Pelodiscus sinensis: one gene and its partner. The protein of the gene in region 2 interacts with the protein of the main gene of each other region in a biochemical or structural test. Links are inferred from orthologs where the notes say so. Each region holds a gene or a part of one and is shown on either strand. Other genes may lie near its edges.

What was found.
Region 1: the proteins of RRM1 (region 2) and RRM2 form a complex in vitro, tested with the Homo sapiens proteins (3 studies listed by BioGRID and IntAct). The link is inferred for Pelodiscus sinensis from reciprocal best matches to the Homo sapiens genes RRM1 and RRM2.

The regions. Positions count from the first base shown.
Region 1 is NC_134713.1:27,354,589-27,364,918, forward strand, and holds the start of RRM2 (ribonucleoside-diphosphate reductase subunit M2), read right to left. Parts: upstream 4,677-10,330; 5' UTR 4,529-4,676; coding exon 4,436-4,528; intron 4,348-4,435; coding exon 4,270-4,347; intron 2,785-4,269; coding exon 2,629-2,784; intron 1,884-2,628; coding exon 1,767-1,883; intron 1,011-1,766; coding exon 877-1,010; intron 1-876. UniProt on the Homo sapiens protein: Provides the precursors necessary for DNA synthesis. Catalyzes the biosynthesis of deoxyribonucleotides from the corresponding ribonucleotides. Inhibits Wnt signaling.
Region 2 is NC_134711.1:326,124,528-326,134,605, reverse strand, and holds the start of RRM1 (ribonucleoside-diphosphate reductase large subunit), read right to left. Parts: upstream 4,008-10,078; 5' UTR 3,872-4,007; coding exon 3,853-3,871; intron 3,495-3,852; exon of another isoform or gene 3,475-3,494; intron 2,809-3,474; coding exon 2,720-2,808; intron 1-2,719. UniProt on the Homo sapiens protein: Provides the precursors necessary for DNA synthesis. Catalyzes the biosynthesis of deoxyribonucleotides from the corresponding ribonucleotides.

The sequences.
Region 1 (10,330 bases), on a different chromosome or scaffold from region 2:
GCACTTGTATAGTTACACTGGTGGTAATCCCAACACAGATATGCTGAATTTGTGCAATTCATTCCTTTATGTCAGTGCATCTCCCTTGTTCTAGTATTCCAATACCCCAATCCCTCTTGCAGTCTGAAGTATATTTGTGGGCTTACAAACATTTTGATACACATCAAACTGCAAGTTTAAGTCTTGTGCTAAGCTTTTTAAGAAAGTATGTAGAACTAGTTCATGAACTATTTTCATATAATTAATTCTTAAATAATCTTTCTGGCTCACTTTGAAAGATTTATATCAATCCAAGAGTAAGGTATAGTTTTTGTTTTTCAAGCTGAGTTTTAGCACTAATAACCCAAAGTTTTAAAGCAGACAGCTTTGTATATGTGTAGCTGTCAGAAATGAGCAGTTTATTACAAGACAGGTTGAAAAATAGTTGTAACCTGCTCACAATGGCACAGAATCATTAGATGGGTAGATGTACATTAGAATGTTATAAAAAGTCAAAAAGATACAAGCTGTAATAATTCCCATAGAAACTGTTCTAGGCCACCTAATCCATGAACTAGCCAATACCATGGGCCTATTGTATTATGAGTAGACCAATTTTAAGTATCTATATAGATTGACTTTGGCTCCCTTGACAAATTTGGTTTCATACCCTCATGTATCAGTTACTAAATTAAACCGGTTATGCTTTTAATCTCTTCCTAGGATGGTTTGTTGAGCCTTCCTGCTTTTTATTATACTTGAGTTGTTCTTCACATCATGTTTGCCAAGCTAGTTAAATTCTCAAATCATTTCTGTATTGTTTCAAGATTTAGAAAAGGCAATACTATTAGAACCCACCATATTACATCAACTTGGACATTTCACTGTGATACTAACCTCTCTTTTGGATCTTTAATGTAAGTGTCTATGAGCAGACTGTACATTTCTGAATGTATATTTTCCATAGCAATCTGGAAGCCATAGAAAAAGCGAGCTTCAGTTATCTGTACTTCTTGGCTGAATCGTTCCACCTAGAGGAGAAACCAAGTAATTGTTGCAGAAAGGATTACCCACTTAAATTGTAATTTAATGCTATTAAACCCACAAGTATCTCCAGTTTTGCTTTACACCCCTATGGTGTGACAAACGTTTTAATGTTCAGAAGTTAAGCCCAGGACAGTGCACTAGAATAGCATCCTCCTGAGAGTCAGGAATCTCAGGTTCTGCCTTGATCTCATCTTAACTCCTTGAGTATTTGGCCTTAAAGAAACACTGCATTTTTCTCATTTCTGCTTAATCTAAGGCAGGACAATGCCAAATTTGACAGAGCTGTAGTAATATTCTGCACTTTTGCAGCTCATGAACAAGAATTTGAAAGCAAAGTACAAATGTGATTTCAGTCTCAATTGCTTTATGAGACACACAAATACCTGCACCCATGTATAGATGAATCAAACAAGATTGTGGAAGTGATCCCCTTCCCCCGCTAAAAAATATTCACACCACAACCTGGAATACAGCCAGGTCAACAGACTCCCAAATCTGTTGGTCTTACTACAAAATCATCCTCTTCTCCCCATAGGGGAAGCTTAGATTACAAAAAAGTCCATAAGAGTCCTTTACTAAGCACAACTTTTCCTAACCCTCCCCACCTCCTGAAAAATGACTACTGATTTAATAGGTTTTAAAGCAGAAGACGCTCAAGAGATAAACATCTCATTGTTTTATTTGGGCAGCTTTGTTAACAGAACGATTTCTACTTCAGGATTTCTCTTCTGTATGCTTACCAAATTCTCATTTACAATGCCATCACTTGCTGCAAAGAAGGCTAGGATATGTGAAATGAAGTACTTTTCCTCAGGCTTCAAGGATTCCCAGTGCTGAATATCTTTGGAAAGATCAACCTGAAGAACAAAAGCAGGCACTTACAATTTTATCATGCTACTAAAGAATGCATTTATATAAAGCAATGTTATACTGTGTATTAAACATAAAATATTACTGCAGTAAATCAAATTATGAAGTTTAATGGGTTCCTAGAACCATGGAAAGTTGTTCTTGGTTTATGTCACTTTTTCCAAAGCTATTTTAATCCGGGCTGGGCAAGATGCAGCCTGAGGCCACATATCAAAATTCATTAAGTGCTCTCCTGTAAAAATTATTGCACACCCCTGCATTAAATATAACAATTTTAAGGCTCTAGTACACTTAATATACAGTCACTGTTGGTTCTTAACAAGCTTAGGCTAGATCAGCACTAGAAAATTAAGCTGGCCTATGTTGGTAAGGAATGACTTTTTTGCACCTTTGGCCAATAGCTAAACCTCCAGATCAAAGAATTCTTCCATGGATCTAGCTCATGGATTACCTATGCTGACAAAAGAAACCCTCACATTAGCACAGGTAGCGAGGCACTTCGACACATCATCTGTAACTCTTTGGGACATGGACCATCTTTGTTGCATTAGTACAGCACCTACTACAAAAGTTCCTGATCATGACTGAGTCCCACAGGTTTTATTGCAATGTAAATATGTTAATACTACTAGGAACACACACTTTGTTATGAGCTGGCCTGAGCGGTGAATATCCAGTGGGCATGTCCACTGAAACAACCAGAGCAGGGATACCATCATGGGAGCCTCTCACCTCTTCAGCTGTCCAGAAGGAGGCCTCTGCTTTCTTATACATTTGCCAGATATCATGGTACCGGATGGGGAAGATGACAAACCGGTGGGGATTCTCCCGTAGGAGTGGCTCATCTTCCAGATTGCTAGGAGCTTGAGTAACTGCTTTGGGTTTCAACTAAAGGAGACACAATAAGAAAAATTGATTTCCATGTCCCCAGTGTTGGTAGACACTGTGGATGTTGGGAAGAGGAAAGCGTAACCATGAATGTGATGCACTAGTTTGCATCCCATTGTGATCAGGGACAACTAGGAGCGGGGAAAGAACGTAGGGGCCAGTAGCCACATGACCCTCCCCCCTCAGGCCAAGGAAGGGTTGGGACAACCCCTTCGGCCCCAGGCCACACCCTTCCTCTTTTGGGCACTTGCTCCACCCTGCCTCTTCACCCTCCTCCCCAACTGGATGTATCTGGGGGCACTTGCAGGGCCAAGGGGCCAACCCCCCTCCCACACATACTCACAGGCAGCAGTGGGGGCAGCTGAACGTGGCCCCAGCTCACTCTGCTTCTCTGGCCATTGCTGCCAAGTGCCAGTCCCTCCTTCACATCTCTCTCCACCCCAGATGCCCAGAGAGTCTAGCCTGCTGGCTGCAGCCAGGCCCCTTGCCCCTCCCACCCGTGGAGTTTAGGTGCATGTGATGAGACTATTTTGTAGATGAAGTCAGGGGGCACGATTAGGTCTGGGTTGGGGCTTGTCTATGGCATGTGGTAACCTGTTCAACAGAGGTGTAGCTTCTAAAGGGCACTAAACTATTGTGCAGTACTTGGCCCATGCAGACCTACTAGTGTACACAAAAGGCCTTTGTTCCCCGACCCCAGGGGAAAGGGGCCCCCTGGCGGAAGGAGGGGGGTGCTCCCTACCCCAGGGAAGGGGGAGAGAAGAGGCCCCCCCGCGGAAGGAGGGGGGTGCTCCCCACCCCAGGGAAGGGGGGGAGAAGAGAGGGCCCCCTACGGAAGGAGGGGGGTGCGAAGAGAGGCCCCCCCACAGAAGGAGAGGGGTGCTCCCCACCCCAGGAAAGGGGGGGAGAAGCGGGAGTGCTCCCCACCCCAGGGAAGGGGGGGAGAAGCGAGGGGTGCTCCCCACCCCAGGGAAGGGGGGGAGAAGCGAGGGGTGCTCCCCACCCCAGGGAAGGGGGGGAGAAGAGAGGCCCCCCCCGCGGAAGGAGAGGGGTGCTCCCCACCCCAGGGAAGGGGGGGAGAAGCGAGGGGTGCTCCCCACCCCAGGGAAGGGGGGGAGAAGAGAGGCCCCCCCCGCGGAAGGAGAGGGGTGCTCCCCACCCCAGGGAAGGGGGGGGAGAAGAGAGGCCCCCCCCGCAGAAGGAGAGGGGTGCTCCCCACCCCAGGGAAGGGGGGGAGAAGAGAGGGGCCCCCCCGCGGAGGGAGGGGTGCTCCCCACCCCAGGAGAGGAAGAAGGCGGGGGGGGGGGGCTCCCGCGCGTTGGCGGGCCGCAGAATTTGGCGCCAAGGCAGAAAGCGGCGGGACCAGCCTCCCGCTGCCGCCTAGCTCAACCCGCGCGCGCTCACAGCCGCTTCCTCCCCAAGCCCAGCCCGGCCGATCGCCCGAATCCCCCCGGCTCCCCTCCCCTCCCCCCGGCCCCGACTCACCGGCTTCGCGTCCGCCTCTTGGAAGATCTTCCGCGCCGTCTTGGTGGCCAGGACCCGCGTGGCGCTGAGCGCGGGGGGCTGCGGAGACAGAGAGCGGCTGGTGAGAGGCGCCGCGCCCGTGGCTGGGGGGGGTGGGGGCGGCGAGGGGGGGGGGGCGGCCACTCACCGTGTTCTCCTTGTCGGTCAGGACCAGGTTCTTCATGGGCGACAGGCGGGGCTGCTCGTTGCGGACGGAGAACGGGGCCCGGGCGGGGATCATGGCGAGCAGAGAGAGGCAGCGGCTGGGACGCGATGAAAGCTCCGGTTCAGTCGTGCTGGGGGAACAAGGGGTGGTGGGTGCCCCGGGGACGCTTTATATTCCCTTCGAACTTGGCGCCAGAACGCCAGGCCGCCCAATCGCAACAGCGGGCACTCCGCCCGCCCCGAAACCTGCCGTCGCTGCTGCGTTCCCATTGGCTCGAGGCCCGGCCGCGGCGCGCTACCCATTGTCACAAACGAGGGAGCCGCCGAAAATTCCGACCGCTCTGCGCTTCTATTGGTCAGAAGCCTTAGGCCGGCCACGCCCCTCTTTTTAGACAAGCGGGAATCCACTTCAAAAATCACTTGCACGTCTCCTGGAGGCTTCCATTGGCCCAAAGCCCCAGCTGGACACGCCCCTGGATTGTCCTGACGTTCCACCCCCTGCGTCTGCCCCCTCCCTTTCGCACCTTTTGTTGCATTGTCTCTCCCGCAGCGAGAAGAGGGTCAGTCTTGCCTCATTCTCCCCCTCTTTTAAAGCGGGATAAGAGTCTATCGCACGGGGGTGTTTGCAGACTCGGAAAAAGTACATATGGGAAGGGGCAGGATGGGTGGCTCTGTCGCTCCAGAGCTGCTGATTCCCACAGACCAATGGTTTTTAACCTTTTTAAATGTACGGATCCATAAAAAAATAGGAATGGCAGTGCAGACCCTTAGAAATCTTAGATGTAGTCTGTGGGTGCCCAAGGGTTCCCAAACCACAGATTGAAAACCTCTGTCTTGTTTAGGGTGACCAGATTTTCTAGGTGTAAGCGGGGGAATGATTCCGCTATTGTGGGGAACTTTCCTGGCGTTTATACCACCCCGGTGAAATGGACCAGCGAAAGGATCTGAGTCCCCACTCCCACTTCCTTTACCCCATGGCTCCCCTGTTCCTGAGGGCTCCCCCTCCACCCTCCTGAGTAGCAGAGCCCTTGAAACCCCAACAAGGCTGGGCCCAGGTTTCCTGGGGCTTAATCCCCGACCTTGTAGTCACTAGGGGCAGGAGTTAGGGTGTCCCCAGTCCGAGGTGCTCTCTTTACACTGCAGGCCGCCTTGGCCCAGTGATCACTTCATAAGGTTCAAAGCAAATACAATTTATTAAACATCAACTGATTAAAGAGAAAAGAATAAGAAAAAATGAGAAAGGTTAAATGAGAACACACAGCCCTGCTCTGTAGCACAGGGACATCAAAACAGCAGTCTGCAGAGTGTAAGGACAGTCCACAGTCTCTTCCTTAGAGGCCCCTTAGAGGCCTTGGATGTGCTGCGGGGGGGAGGGGCTGCAGGCTGGACACGCTTGCTCTGGCAGTGACCACACAGCCTCAAGCTCTAAGTGGCCAGACCCCTCTCCCAGTCCAGAGCCTCTCCCCACACTTTGCAGTTCCCCTCTGCTCACCACATCCAGCTGCAGGCTGAGCTTCTTGGCCAGTCTCTAGCTTCTTGTGTTGCTTCTCTGTTCCTTTTGGCTCTCTGAGCACTGCCAGTCTGCTGCTCAACACAGGGTCTGCGCTCCTTGAGCCGTGTGTGTCTGGCTCAGCTGCTGCAAAAACTGCCCCTCAGCACACAGCTTGCACTGCTTGGGCTGTCTCTCAGCTCTCTGTTTGCTCAGAGAGAGTCAGAACAATCCCAGCTCACAGGGAGGACGGGGCCTGGCCTCTCCCCTTCCTCACTGGCCTGTCCAACCTGTCAATCAGGCTGAGCTGGAGTGTTGGCTGCTTTCCATTGTCAGACTCATGTCCCTTCTGAAACTGGGAGCTGGCAAACCAAAAAACTCCCACAGAGTTTTAGTAAGGGGTAACAGTCCCCTTACATAGGGACAGTCTTGCTGTTCTGGGCTTTTTTATAATTAGGGGTAGTATATCCCCCACCCCGTCCTAGTTTTTCCACTATTTCTATTTGGTCACTTAAGTCATGTTGCAGACCACTTTAGGGAATGCCCTCCCGCTCCCACCAAGCACCAATAAACTCAAGAACCAGGGAAGTACTCCTTTGGTGGATGGTCCCAGTAGTTTAGGAACCAGAGAAGATTTAACCCTTCTTCTGTGCTCCCTTTGTCTCAGATGCCCCAGCAGGATATTTTGTCTTTACTCCTCCTGGCTACGTCTAGACTGGCATGATTTTCCGGAAATGCTTTTAACGGAAAAGTTTTCCGTTAAAAGCATTTTCGGAACAGAGCGTCTTGATTGGCACGGACGCTTTTCCACAAAATCACTTTTTGCAGAAAAGCATCCGTACCAATCTAGACGCGCTTTTCCGCAAAAAAAGCCCCGATCGCCATTGTCGCAATCGAGGCTTTTTTGCGGAAAACAAATCTGGGCTGTCTACACTGGATTTTTGCCCCAACAGGAGCAGCATAGTATTTCCGCAAGAACACTGACAATCTTACATGAGATCGTCAGTGCTTTTGCGGAAATTCAAGCGGCCAGTGTAGACAGCTGGCAAGTTTGTCCGGAAAAGTGGCTGATTTTCCAGAAAAACTGGCCAGTCTAGACACAGCCCCTGAATTAGTGATATTTTATGTCCTGAAACATGATGTCTGTAAAAATAATGGTGGGTTGTTCACTATATATTTGAGAGAGTTTGTCGATCTGTGTCCGCCTGAATCTGTCTGTGTGTCTGTTGGTTCAAGAACTCCTAAACCGTAAGAGCTAGGGCTGCCAAATTCAATGTGCAGCTTTCTCTTACCATAACTTAAACCAAGGTAAAGGTTCGGTTGTGCCTGGAAAACAGGTTGTGGGATTGCTTCCTACAAAACCATACAGAAAAGACAGCATCACTAGACACATGAAAGGCGCTGGTAGGCGGTGCACACACCCCCATTCAGGACTGCCCCAGTCCTGAGTCTCTCACCCCTCAGGTGCCATTTAAGGAGGGTAGAGGGGCTGCAGGCCTCCCCCCCCCCCCCCATTCATACAGGTTCATATAAAATCATACAGAAAAGAGATAATCACCAGGCATGTGAAAGGGGCTGGCTGGGGGTGTCTCCCCACCTCCCCAAACTGCCCCAAGTCCCAAGCCTTTCACCTCCCAGTCATCCTTTAGAGAGGGAGGATGGGAAGGGCTGAAGTTTTCCTCCACCCCCTGGATTCATACAGGAATATTGCTGGCTGTTACCCCAGGGGAAAGTGCACAGTTTGCTGAACTTCTCACTCTGGCTGGGGAGCGCAGGACACAGATGAACCTGGACCTGTTCAGTAGAGCGACATGTACCCTTCTCCCAACTGTGCCCACTGAAGTTGCAGTGGCCATAGAGAGGTGTTTCTCACCTGTCCCCAAGTTGCTGCACAAAGAGAGGGCTAAGGTAGTCCTCTCTCCCTGGGGCAGCCTGCATACTGAAACCTTCATCCCCAGCTCCAATATTTTATTTTCCAAAACACAATAATTAATTGAGTTAACGACTTGAGCAATGCCGGGTAAGTCTTGTAGTATAACTATATTTCTTAAATCTTTTCAATGCCTCAGATATATCTTGTGGCAATGAGTTTCATCAGTCAGCAATTTGTACATGCTATATGTCTTACCTTCCCATTAAATGCTCTCCCATTCAGATATAATTCAAAAAGTGAAGTAGGACAATCCTGTTGATCTTTTCTGTGTTGTTCATTGTTTTGTATACCTCTATGACATTCTCTCTTATCTATACTTTCTCTTCTGGCATAGACAAGGTCAAAAGCCTAGATTCTGCAAAGACTTAAACATGCAAAATTCATGCACAGGAATAGTTTTAACATATGTTATATATGTGCTTAAATTTTTGAAGGATTAGAGGCACATGAAGAAAAGCTGTACTGTCACTTTCATCTCAGATTTTGCTGTCATGTGACCAAACTTTGGCTTTAGGGTGGACCATGGGAGAGTATACCCTTCCCCGCATACACACACACACATTCTCGCTCATTCACTCACTTGCTCTCGCTATGTCTACACTATGGAGTTTTTTCCGGAATACTGGAGGTATCCCAGAAAAACTCCGCCATGTCCATGGAATGCAACATTTTTTGCGGAAAAGCAGACATACTCTTTCGGAAGCCCTGCAAACCTCGTTTCACAAGAAAGAAAGGCTCTTCCGAAAGAGGAGGTTTTTCTGAAATTTGGCCCAGTGTAAACAGGCCAAATTTCAGAAAGGCCTCTTCCGAAAAAACAATCGGAAAAAGGAGTGTAGTGTAGACAGCCTCTGATTGCTGCTTTTGACTTTCTAGGAAAATATGTGATGTATGCCACTTGATTTCGGATGTTTCTTCTTTTTTCAAATGGTCAGGCACCAGAAAAGTAGAAAAAACAATAGAAAGAAATAAAGGGGGTGAAGGGGGTGATTGAGGAAGGCTTTTTTTTTTAAGGCAGAGGAGGTGGGAGACTCTTTTAAAGTTAAGAGGGATAGTATAAGAAAGAAAAAAGGAAAGTCGCAAGTAATAGGAGAAAACAAAAGAAACAGTCAGTAGAGGTGTAGGTAGAAGACTTTGTTGGCACTTGTAAGTTTAAAGCACAGCCAAAGTAGTGCTACCACAGCAGTCCTTTAACCCAGCAATGTGGTCACCACACTGGCGCCAAGAGAGTGCGAGTTCTCCCAGCACTGAAAGCAAACCATCTCTATGATGTGTAGCTAACAGCACTGGGAGCACGATTCCCAGAGCTGGGAGGGAACCGGTTGACACTGATGCTTTACCACACTGTAACTTGCTGTACTCCGGGGTGTTTTTTCACATCCCTGAGCAAGAAAGTTACAACACAGTGAAGTGGCAATTTAGACAGGCCCTTATACATTGCAGGAGGGGAGATAGGAAGACCCAGCTGTGGAGCCTTGCAGGAAGGTTGAAGAAAAAGAATTGGAAACCGATATAATAGATAATTAAGATGAATGATAATGTATTATTATTATTATTATTATTATTATTATTATTATTATTATATGAGCTGATAACCCCCTGAATGTTATACAGTATTTAGTGCAATGTCAACTCATGCAATAATAATACGGGTCACATAACAAGGGTGGAGATTATTACATATACTTTGTGGGACAAGTTTGCACAGGATGAGCTCTCAAAGTCGTGACTCTCACTTGCTTTCTTATAGGAATAAACTACATAAAACACACCTGCTGCGGCTGCTATATTGCTTGGCATTGGGAAGTGCATTTTTTCAGACATGTTTTTCTCCCCTTCGGGGAAATAAAAGCAAGTTTTTCACTCAGTTACACAACTGTGTAAAACAGCATAGGCCAAAACTTCTAAAACGAGAGCTGCTGCTGACCCTCCTCTTCTTTCTGTAACACAATAAATGATCCCACTCTGGTGTCATTTAAAAATGAGTAGATGTTCATGCAGCGTTAAATGCAGGTTGCTCTTATTATTTAAAAGGTGGCACCACTTTCTTCTCCCTACCCCGGAACTAGAATGTGCTTAGCACACCATGACTTGCAGATAATTAACAATAAATAAACGTAGACAGGATGTGGCTTGTCAAGGTTTCCAAATATAATGGAAGGGATGTGTCACACCTGCAAAAGTTTTGAGTTCATGTAAATACTGCTGGACTCCAAGAAGAGTTAGAGTAGAGCTGTATATTTCAGATCTTATAAAAAGTTACATCTTGCTCTATGACAAGTCATTTAGGTGTGGTTTTGTCACTAAGATAAAGAATATCATGAAGCTGTATTACTGTAAGCAAAACAGTACAGGTACATGCTGTATTATGGTGAATATTGTTTTGCTGTAAGTCATACAAATCTGGATCATTCAAACATCACATTTATCCCTTGTGTAACTCTACCAGTGTCAGTGGA
Region 2 (10,078 bases):
ACCAGGCTTTAATGTTACAACCTTAGTGATAGTTTGGAGAAAGGGAACAGGGAGTAGTACAGAAATGACTCATCAGGAATTATCCAATCAGGCACAAGTTTTTGTATGCAGTTAACTTGCTAAATGTTAATGTGCCCTGTTGAAGCGGTAGTGCAAAAGCTGAAATGCCACATCCAATCCAGAACTTGCTCAGGAATTTTCAAACTCCAAACAGCATTGACTTTTCACATGCCTGATCAAGCATCTAATTTGTTAAATTACAAATAGTTAATGCTAAGAGAGTTTGGAAAGGGATATTAAAACTAGGAATGTAAAATCCCATTTAATCAGTTAAATATAATGCTTAACCAGGATCCCACAGCCTAGTTGGTACCGCCTCGCCATGAGCTGCTTGGGCTGGGCCCGCTGCACAGTGCTATGGGTGGGGGCTGCTCCAGCTGGTAACAGTGATGCTTACTTGTTACATCTGAAATAAAAACCTCATGTTTCAGGGCTTAAACCAATCTCTCACATCTACCCATTAGGGTGTTTCCTGCACCTTCCTCTAAGCCAACTGGTACTGGTCACTGTCAGAAACTGGGTACTGAACCAAGAGGATCTTGGGTCTTATCTAATATGGCAATTTTGACATGCATTTGAAACATTCACATGCAACTGGGTATGTCAGACTGTCATTTTCAAACACTGGTCTTAAATTGCAAGCTCTATGGGACAGGGACAGTTTTTGTCCTGTTTGTACAGCACCTAGCACTAAGGCATCCTGGCCCATAAATGCAACTCAAGCATTGAAGCAATAGAAACAATAATGGTCTGTCATGTAAAACTAACTTTATTATTATTAGCAAGGCTTGCTAAGCGGCGGTGAGCCCCACTCGCCAGCTGCACGGAACCACACGCTGCGCATGCACAGACCGCGCCGGGCTAAAATCTACTCACCACGGGCGAGTAGATTGCCTTAATTGTCGAGCCCTGATTATTAGCCCAGTCACCAGGATGTTACACTAGGGATTCAGAGACCTAGATCAGATTCCTTGCTTTGCTACACCTCTCTGGGCATCACTTTCCCCAACTGTAAAACAGGGATAATGATTCTACTGCCTCTTTGTAAAGCTATTTGAGACCCAGGGCTGAGAAATATACTACATATTTCTATTGCACTGATAGCATTCTAAGCATCTATCACGATCATGAGGTTAGCCAGCAGCCTGGGGACTAAGGGATTAACTATACCTAACTCAGGTAGAGTTAGCCAATAGAAATGTAGGTAGGAATTTCAAACTGGGACAAAGGAATTTTTGGGTTTCCCTCCTTTGTCTCTGGGAGTTTTCTCCCCAGCTATTGAAGGGGACAGGATGTCTCCCTCTAAGAAAATACTCTTCACAGTCTGTAAGTAGGATAAAGTTTAGATAAATCCGTTAGATTTTATTGTTTTATGGTTTGGGAAATGAGATCAGGTCTGTGCATTTAAAAATGGGTTTTGCTCTCCTTTGTAACTAAGTTCCTGGCCCATGGTAAATTTCTCCTCCGTGAGTATATTATATTGTTACTATTCCATCTAATCATTATACTTGCAACAGAAATATTGTGGTGATAATATAAGTTCTCTCTCGTTTCTTTTTATTAACCTGGTATTAGTTAATTTTTGTGTCCTGGTTTGTACTTTAGGGGTGAGATATCCCAAGTAGTCTCTCCTTGGTTGCTTTATTAATATTTGGGTGGTGGCAGCAGAGAATTTATCCCCGACATCTAAGTTGTTAAGATTTGGGGGGGGGGGGGGGGGATTTTATACCAAAGCCTGGTAGATAAGATTTTGGAGTACTTTTGCTGGCCGCCAATTCTGCATTTATCGTGCCAGAGTGGGGAAGGAGCCATGACAGCATCATTCACAAATATGGCACTGTTAACCTGGGCTTGAATAACGATATTAACTGGTTAATGCACTATAGAGCCAATTTCCCCACCTTTGACATTCACATTTTCACATCAAATGCTATGAAGGGGACACATCCAGCCCATTTAATTAGCATCATTAACACAGATCCTACAATTGACAGGTAACTGCTTTTGCTGTTTTTATATATTTATATCTTTGATTCTGTTATTTCCACTCCAACTCATCTGATGAAGTGGGTTTTACTCACAAAAGCTCGTAACCCTATACATTTTTGTTAGTCTCTAAGGTGCCACAGGACCACTCATTGTTTTTTTAAAGAATCAAGTTACAGTAGTTGCAAACTGAACAATCAACCACATGTGTCACTTGGAGCCAGAAGTATGTAATCAGGCAGCAGCAGAGACAGCTCCCCTATGCCCCTCCTCCCCCTTCCCTCAAAAAAAGCAAATAAATACAGTACAGTTCTGTGTTAAATGTAAACTATTTTTTTTAAAAAAGGAAAATGGATTTTTTTTCTTCTGCTTATTAAAGTCTGAAAGCTGTATTCAATAATCAGTTGTAAACTTTCTAAAGAACAACCATAACATTTTGTCCAAAGTTACAAACATTCCTTAGGTGTTCACAACAAAGGTTCTACTGTACACAGAAAAGAAAAACACAATGGTTACCATTAAAAAAGCAGCAGTTGCCAAGAGTTCACAATAGGGGTATGGGGAATACAAACACCTCCCTTTAGAATGAAGGGGAAATAACTGAGAGGCACCTGATCACAAATGGTCACCACGGAGGACTGGGGGAAAGTGGAGAGGGTACAAAACAACTCACAGGATCAACGAAGTCGGCATTGAGTCCATAGCAGAGCTTCTGGATCCGAGAAGTGATCTTGTCAAACATGACGCGCTCATGGCGCCCATCTACCAGGTGTTGGGGGAGGAAAGGAGAGACAGAGAGTCAGGCCTTTATAGAGAGCAGCATGAATTACACAGACAGCCACATGTAGCAGGAGTCTTTGAAGGGGGTCTTTGGGGGGGAGTGTCTTTGAGAGGGGTCTTTGGGGGGACCCTTTGAGAGGGGCCTTTGGGGGGGACCCTTTGAGAGGGGCCTTTGGGGGGGCCACCTATGGCTGTCAAGGTATCTCTGTGCCCTCCCCAGCACTCCAGGGACTCTGCTCCGCCGCTCTGTGAGCAGCACCAGAAGAATCCAGCCAGAGGGGAATATTCATGCCGCCTGTGGGGATCCCCATTCCAGAAACCGGGGATCGGTGGGGATCGAAATGCTCCGGGCGGTGAGTCGGAGGCGACAGGGGTCCGGTCCTCCAGGGGAGCGTGGTGCCAGCTATGGAAGTAGCAGGAATACAAAGCAGGGACGTTACAGGTTAACCGGGAGCATATCCCTTACCAGCATCCTTACCGGTTAACCGGAGCCTGCAGCCGGCGGTTAACCCTAACCGGGTTAACAGGTTAACCGGGAGCGTATCCCTTACCAGCATCCTTACCGGTTAACCGGAGCCTGCAGCCGGTGGTTAACCCTAACCGGGTTAACAGGTTAACCGGGAGCATATCCCTTACCAGCATCCTTACCGGTTAACCGGAGCCTGCAGCCGGTGGTTAACCCTAACCGGGTTAACAGGTTAACGGGCCGGTTCCAGCCTGATCCGTTCATTGGTTAACCGATGAACCCGTGAAAGGGGATTTTGCAGCCCTGTGCCAAGGCAGGGCGGGGGGGGGGGGGCATGCACCCGGGGGCGCAGTGCCAGCTGGCCCCCCCAGGCGGAGGGGCGGGAATGGCACTGTGGGTAGGGGTCCCCCCAGGCGGGGTCCTCCCCCCGCAGAGAGGAGACGCGCGGGGAACTCGCTCAGCAGGGGCAGCCCCGAGGGGGGGGGGTCGGACCCGCTGAGCGCCCCCCCCAGTAGGGAGCCGGGGCTGCTGCCCCTGCCCCCGAGTGGGGGGGCTCTCACCTCGCTTGATGACGTGCATGGCGGCGGCTGGGGCCGGGCGCTCGCGCTCAACGCTCCGGGAGCTCCAGACGCGGCCTACGAGCTTCCCGCGCCCGCCAAGCGCCGGCCTGACCCCGCCGCGCCGCCGTACCGCCCCGCCCCCTCCCCACGCCGCGGCCGCCATCTTGAGTGCGGGCAGCGGCCCCGACCCGCCGCGGGCTCTTCTGCCCGGGCCCGGGACCCCATCGCCTCCCTGGTGCTTGCCCGGCAGCTCGCCCCTCCCTCCTCGCCCTGCTCCCCGGCTACGCGGCACAGGGGCAAAGGGAACCACGGGGGGCAAGGGCGGCTTGCCCGGGTCCAAGATGGCGGCCGAGATCCCGCCTCCCCCGCCCTTCCGATGACCGGCTGTGGGGGGAGCGGGCTGCTTCCCGCCTGGGGCGGGGCGGGGCTGCCATGTGGGGGGAGACTCCTTCGTGGGGGGGGAAGGGGAGACTCCTTCGTGGGGGGGACATGGGGGGAGGGGAAGGGGAGACTCCTTCGTGGGGGGGACATGAGGGGGAGGGGAAGGGGAGACTCCTTCGTGGGGGGGACATGGGGGAAGGGGAAGGGGAGACTCCTTCGTGGGGGGGACATGGGGGGGAGACTCCTTCGTGGGGGGGACATGGGGGGGAGGGGAAGGGGAGACTCCTTCGTGGGGGGGACATGAGGGGGAGGGGAAGGGGAGACTCCTTCGTGGGGGGGACATGAGGGGGAGGGGAAGGGGAGACTCCTTCGTGGGGGGGACATGAGGGGGAGACTCCTTCGTGGGAGGGACATAGGGGAAGGGGAGACTCCTTCGTGGGAGGGACATAGGGGAAGGGGAGACTCCTTCGTGGGGGGGACATGGGGGGAGGGGAAGGGGAGACTCCTTCGTGGGGGGACACATGGGGATGGGAAAGGGGAGACGCCTTCATGTTGGGGGAACACGCAGTGGAAGAGGGAGAATCCTACATGGGGGGGTCACATGGGGGACATCTCTCCCCTTGGGCCAGGCCCTCAGCTCTCAAGCCGTTTGAACAGCCCAAAGGTGGGGCTGGGTTAGTGCCCGCTCCCTTGGGCGAAGGACTCCTCATGCAGGAAAACTGAAGCGCCACGGTGGGTCCCCACTCGGCGGGGCTCCAGTACTGAGGTAAATCGCTGTGGAGCCGAGAAATTGGGGGCTACCTGGCTGCGCAGTGGTAGGGGAGGCCCTGCTTCGGCTAGTCATGCTGCTGTCAAAGTATTCCCCCTCCCTGCCCAGACTTGTCTATGGAAGGAAACTGACTTCACATGACAGCCTTAGTCATCCTTCCACTCTGATTGAGGTCATCTGGAATAATCCTCCCCGCCCATGTGGACATTCTGTTCTTGAACACAAGTGGTTTAATTCCAGAGTAATTACTCCCAAATAATTGTTTCCAAAGTGCATAATTATTCTGGAATAAAGTCGCTCTTGTCTGGGACTAAAGTGTCCACCTGGGGGAACCGGCGACAGAGCAAAAATAGCTCAGTTTTTTATTTTGTCCTATTTTGAATCTGTAAATGTATCCAGCATAAAGCAATTTCCCACTTCCCCAGTAGATGGCATCATTAGACTATTTTTTCTACCATCCACTTTCCCAGAAAGATACTACCTGTATTATTATTCATCATTTGTATTAGGCTAGTACCTGTTGAAGTGATCTGCCTCTGTCTGCCACTGATCAAGTATGAGCAACCCTGGATATTAGGTGTTGTGCATGCATATAACAAACAAATTATCCTTTATTATATAAGGCCATGTCTATAGTATAAGGACTATAAAAGCAGAGGTACAGGCTGCAGCTATGTTGACATAACCTCATGGTGTAGATCAGTGATGGGGGACCTAGGCTAGTGAGTGGGCTGCATGAAGTGGCCCTCCATCTCAGTGGGCTGCAAGATTGTTGTAGCCAACATAGGGTAGTTTTGCTAATTGAACTTTCATTCCTAGAATTTGTAGGATGTACCAATTGAACTGTAGTGGCACTGTGATAGGCAGAGGGAGCACACGGCTCTCACGGTCAATATTGTGTGAAATCAGAATGCACCTCACTTCATGTGCCCTTGCTTTACATGCGTGTCACTTGAGTTGAATCTCTAAAATCCGGGACTCTGAACCAGTAACATCCATCGTCCGGCAGGACTATGGATATTGCTGGACCAGAGAGCCCTTGCTGGCCAGGTTCAGCAGCGCAGCCTGGGCCGCATGGGCGATCAGTAATGTAGGCAATGGAAGGCAGAGCCTTCCCAAAATAAGGCTGGGGCCACCGTCAGGAGACGCAGCCCGGCTTTCCCTGCCCACCAAGGAGAGCCGGGCCGGAGCTGCAGCATGGCAGCTGTGGCTCTCCACATGGCCCAGAAGGATCAAGCTGGGAGTGGTCTGAAGGGGGCAGGGCTGAGGCTTGCCTTCCCCAGCTGGCTTTTCATGCGATGCCTATGCTGGGCTAGGCTGGCAGGGGGGAGTGCAGCCTCAGCGGGGCCGGCGCAGTGGGGAGCCCAGCCCAAGTCAGAGTGGCATGGTGGGGGTGTGCAACCTCAGTAGGGGCTGGAGGCAGCAGGACCAAGCAGGGAGTGCAGCTCCTGCCGGTAGCAGAGCCTACAGCTAGGTAGGGAGCCCTGAGCTCCCCTGGTCTGGCAAACCCTGTACAGTAGTTTGGACCACTCAGGTCCTGAGGGTGCTGGACTAGGGAGGTCCCCCTGTACTGGTAGAAAAAAAACTACATGGGCGAAAACCAGCAGTCACAGTAAACAAACTCCAGTCATCTGAAGAAATGGGCTGTGCCCACGAAAGCTCATGATCCCATCTACATGTTTTGTTAGTCTATAAAGTGCCACCAGACCATTTGTTGTATTTTAAGTTTAGTAAACAAAATGTCTTGCCACACATACAACCTGGTTTGCCCACCTGTAGTGTAGACACAGCCGACAGTGATATAAGGGTTTTCTTTCCATTGCTAGCACCTGAGCGAGGGCAGCACCTAGCTGTGTCTATACCTGGCAATAGGCCTGAATACCTACATAGCTGCATTATGCAGGTGTGCAGATTTTTCAGCTCCCTGAGCAATGTAGATATGTCAGTGTACATCTGAAGTGTAGAATAGATCTAATAATAAGATGGACAGTTTAAAATAAACCAACAGCTGGAGGGGGCTCATGCAATTAATGAGGCTGTTATGATTATGTATAAGGACTACATACTTAGCAGCAGTCACAGAGCTTCAGCAGCCCATTACTAAGCAGTTAGTAGACACTCCAGTGTTGGTTGGTTTTAATAAGAGATTTAGAAGAGGACAATGTGGTTGCTTTACAGTTTTTCACAGTGTGCTCCTTTCATGCAGAAGCAGCAGCATGGGAGAAAGATTTTTGCAGCTGCATTTTGATTTGCTATGGTGGCTTTGTTTTGGCTGGAGACAAGGGCCAGTGTTTGAGGTGGAAGCTGCTGAACTGTTTTGGTTATCTGTTTACAATGGCTTCTTTATGCAGGTTTAACCTCTCAAATCCGGCACTCTGGTCCGCCAACACCTATAGTCTGGCATGAGCATGGATATTGCTGGACCAAAGAGCCCTGCAGACTGGGAGCGGGAGCCAGCTGGGAGTCCCGTGGTGGCTGGGGAGCCCCAGCTGGGCCAGTGACAGCTAGCTTGGTGATGGCCTGGGAGCCTGGCAGCAGCAGGGCTGACTGAGAACCCCTGGTGACAGTGGCTCTGGCAGCAGGGTGGGGAGCCCTGGCACAGCCAGTGGCAGGATGGGGAGCCCCAACCTGGGGAGCCCCACAGCCGGAGGGAGCCTGAGAGTAGGGCCAGCAGGAGAACTTTGACCTCCCCTGGTCTGACAAACTCCTGGTTCGGGAGTGCTGAAGTCCCAAGGGTGCTGGACCAGGGAGGTCCCACCGGTATTTATTCTGAATGTAAGGTCACAGAGTTACACCCCACTCACAATAGCAGGGATTGGCCCAATACATAATATTTGCCTTATGCCGCACCGTACCTCCAGAAGACAACATGCTTTTTACTAATTCTGTACAGAAATCACTTCTTCTGCCTTTGAAAGGCAGCCACCTCTGGGGGGGGGAAGCAGCAGCTGCTTCGGAGGCTGAGAATGCCCTAATGCAGGGAAAATTAGGCAAGCAGAATGTAATCTAAGTTATAATTTGGCAGGGATAGTGGGACTATCACCACGGTTCTAACAAACATTGCCCAGGAGCGTTAATGTTGGAACCTCAGTCATTTCTTCCAAAAAAATTTGTTTTCCTTCGCTGTGCATTGGGGCATCAGTTCAACAGTGACTCTGAGCACAAATGGCTCACTACTGATTACCTAGCACTGGGATACTCTTCTCAGGTCTCCCATTTAACGGGAACCCTGCTGAGTTTGTGAGAGTCACTAAGAAAGGCTGCACAAGGTTGCAAGTCTGGAGTGCCCTAGCATCAAGCATGCAAAGAGGGAATTTCTTGGAATTAATTCAAAACCAGAGCAGATCAGGTCCCATAGTCTGCAGTGCTATAAAATAGTATGTGTCAGAAAGGTTTGCGGAGGGGAGAACAGGCTGGTTCAGCTGGAGCCCGTGCTATGTTCACTGATCTTCCTCCCTGTTGTTTTATTGGGCCTTCTTTGAGTGTCTTACAGCCATGGGCAAGACTGATTTATTTTACTAGAATTTGACAAGCACCCGGTGGGTTAAACTGTGACAGAGGAAACCAGACTTCTCCTAATGGGGTGTGACTGCGGGTAGATCAGAAAGATAAACGTTTGAAAAGCTGCACTCTCTGAGATGATTTTGGAAGGAAATTAAGCAACAAAGAGCCGGCTTACTGGAAATGTCGTGTTACCCCTTCCTTGGTAGGACAGCTACAGGCAAGAGAGAGCCTCTGTATGAGCAGACACCATAGTTATTCACTTACTGATTTCCAGAGTGAAATGTGTTCAGTCCAGCGGTGAAAGTAACTTAAAATTTCTTACAGATCCTGTCCTATTGCAACCCGGATCCCTGCCAGCTCTTTCAATAGCTCCCTGTTGGCTTTTGCCACAGCTCAGCCAGCTCTTGCCAAAGCTGCGCACCCCCTTGCTTTCACCTCTGGTTCAGTCTCAACAGGCTCTTTCTACTTGCCAACCCTTCAGATACAGTCTGGCCATGTGAACAATTGAAATCAGGCTCTTTCTGTAGCGCTCCATTCTCACTTGAACTCAAGGGATTTGGATAATGACCACGGGGGAGGTGGTCTAGAATGGAGATCAATAGTAAGAATGTATTTCTTCCAACAAACAGAACATATGCAACATGACCAGAAGATATACAGAGCCTTCATGCCCTCACTTCTGACAGATCTCACTGGAAATTCTATTTTACTATACCGTTTTATAAACATTCAAGCCTTGGCCAGTAAGAAGAAGGAAGGAAGTGTAGGTTCCTGATTCTCTACAGCTTATTTATTTAGTCCCTGATCCAGGAAAGCACATATTTATATCCAGTTCTGTTAGCAAAACACTTAAGAACCTGCAATGGGACTGTTTAGAATGATCAAGTTTTGCTGTGGAAATCAGTGGCCCTTATACATGTGCAAAATGGGTGTAAAATTCTACCATTCATTTGGCAGCATTTTTCACGAGAAGAAATGACTACATAGGGCACAGAGTGCTGAGGAATCAGGCTACAGCTACTTTGGGAGTGGGAGAGCCAATCAAATCCTGCTTGCTTTACTCACCAGACTTCAATGGCTCTTCTCACAAGGGTTTGGCCTTTGGGCAGACATGTAATTGTAACCCTGCTATGAAAGATGCTACCAAGTGGAAGTTACTACAGTAGCCTAAGGCAGGTCTCTCTCTTGCTTCATTTCCCTCCCACAAAACAAGTTTGCATGGCCCGCTTCCTTTTTTTCTCCTGGACTCTGTTTAGGTTGTCCTTACACTACAGAGAAGGTGGTGTATGTATGCCAGCAAAATGGGAGGCAGAAAAGTAATTAAGATGCACAGCTGAATGGGAGATTCTGTGCCGGGGGCTTTTGGATGAACATGTTTTTCAGAGGAAACTTATTTATGTTTTATTAGTTGTATTCTGATGTGTTCCTTTTTCTACATTTTACAGTCTCCCAACCATAGGTGCTGGGACTAGACTTGGATGATATGGACACCCTGCTCTTCAGGATTTTGCTCCACTAAAAAAAGGTTGGAAACTGCAGTGTCCAGAGACAGAACTGTGTGAGATTTCTGCA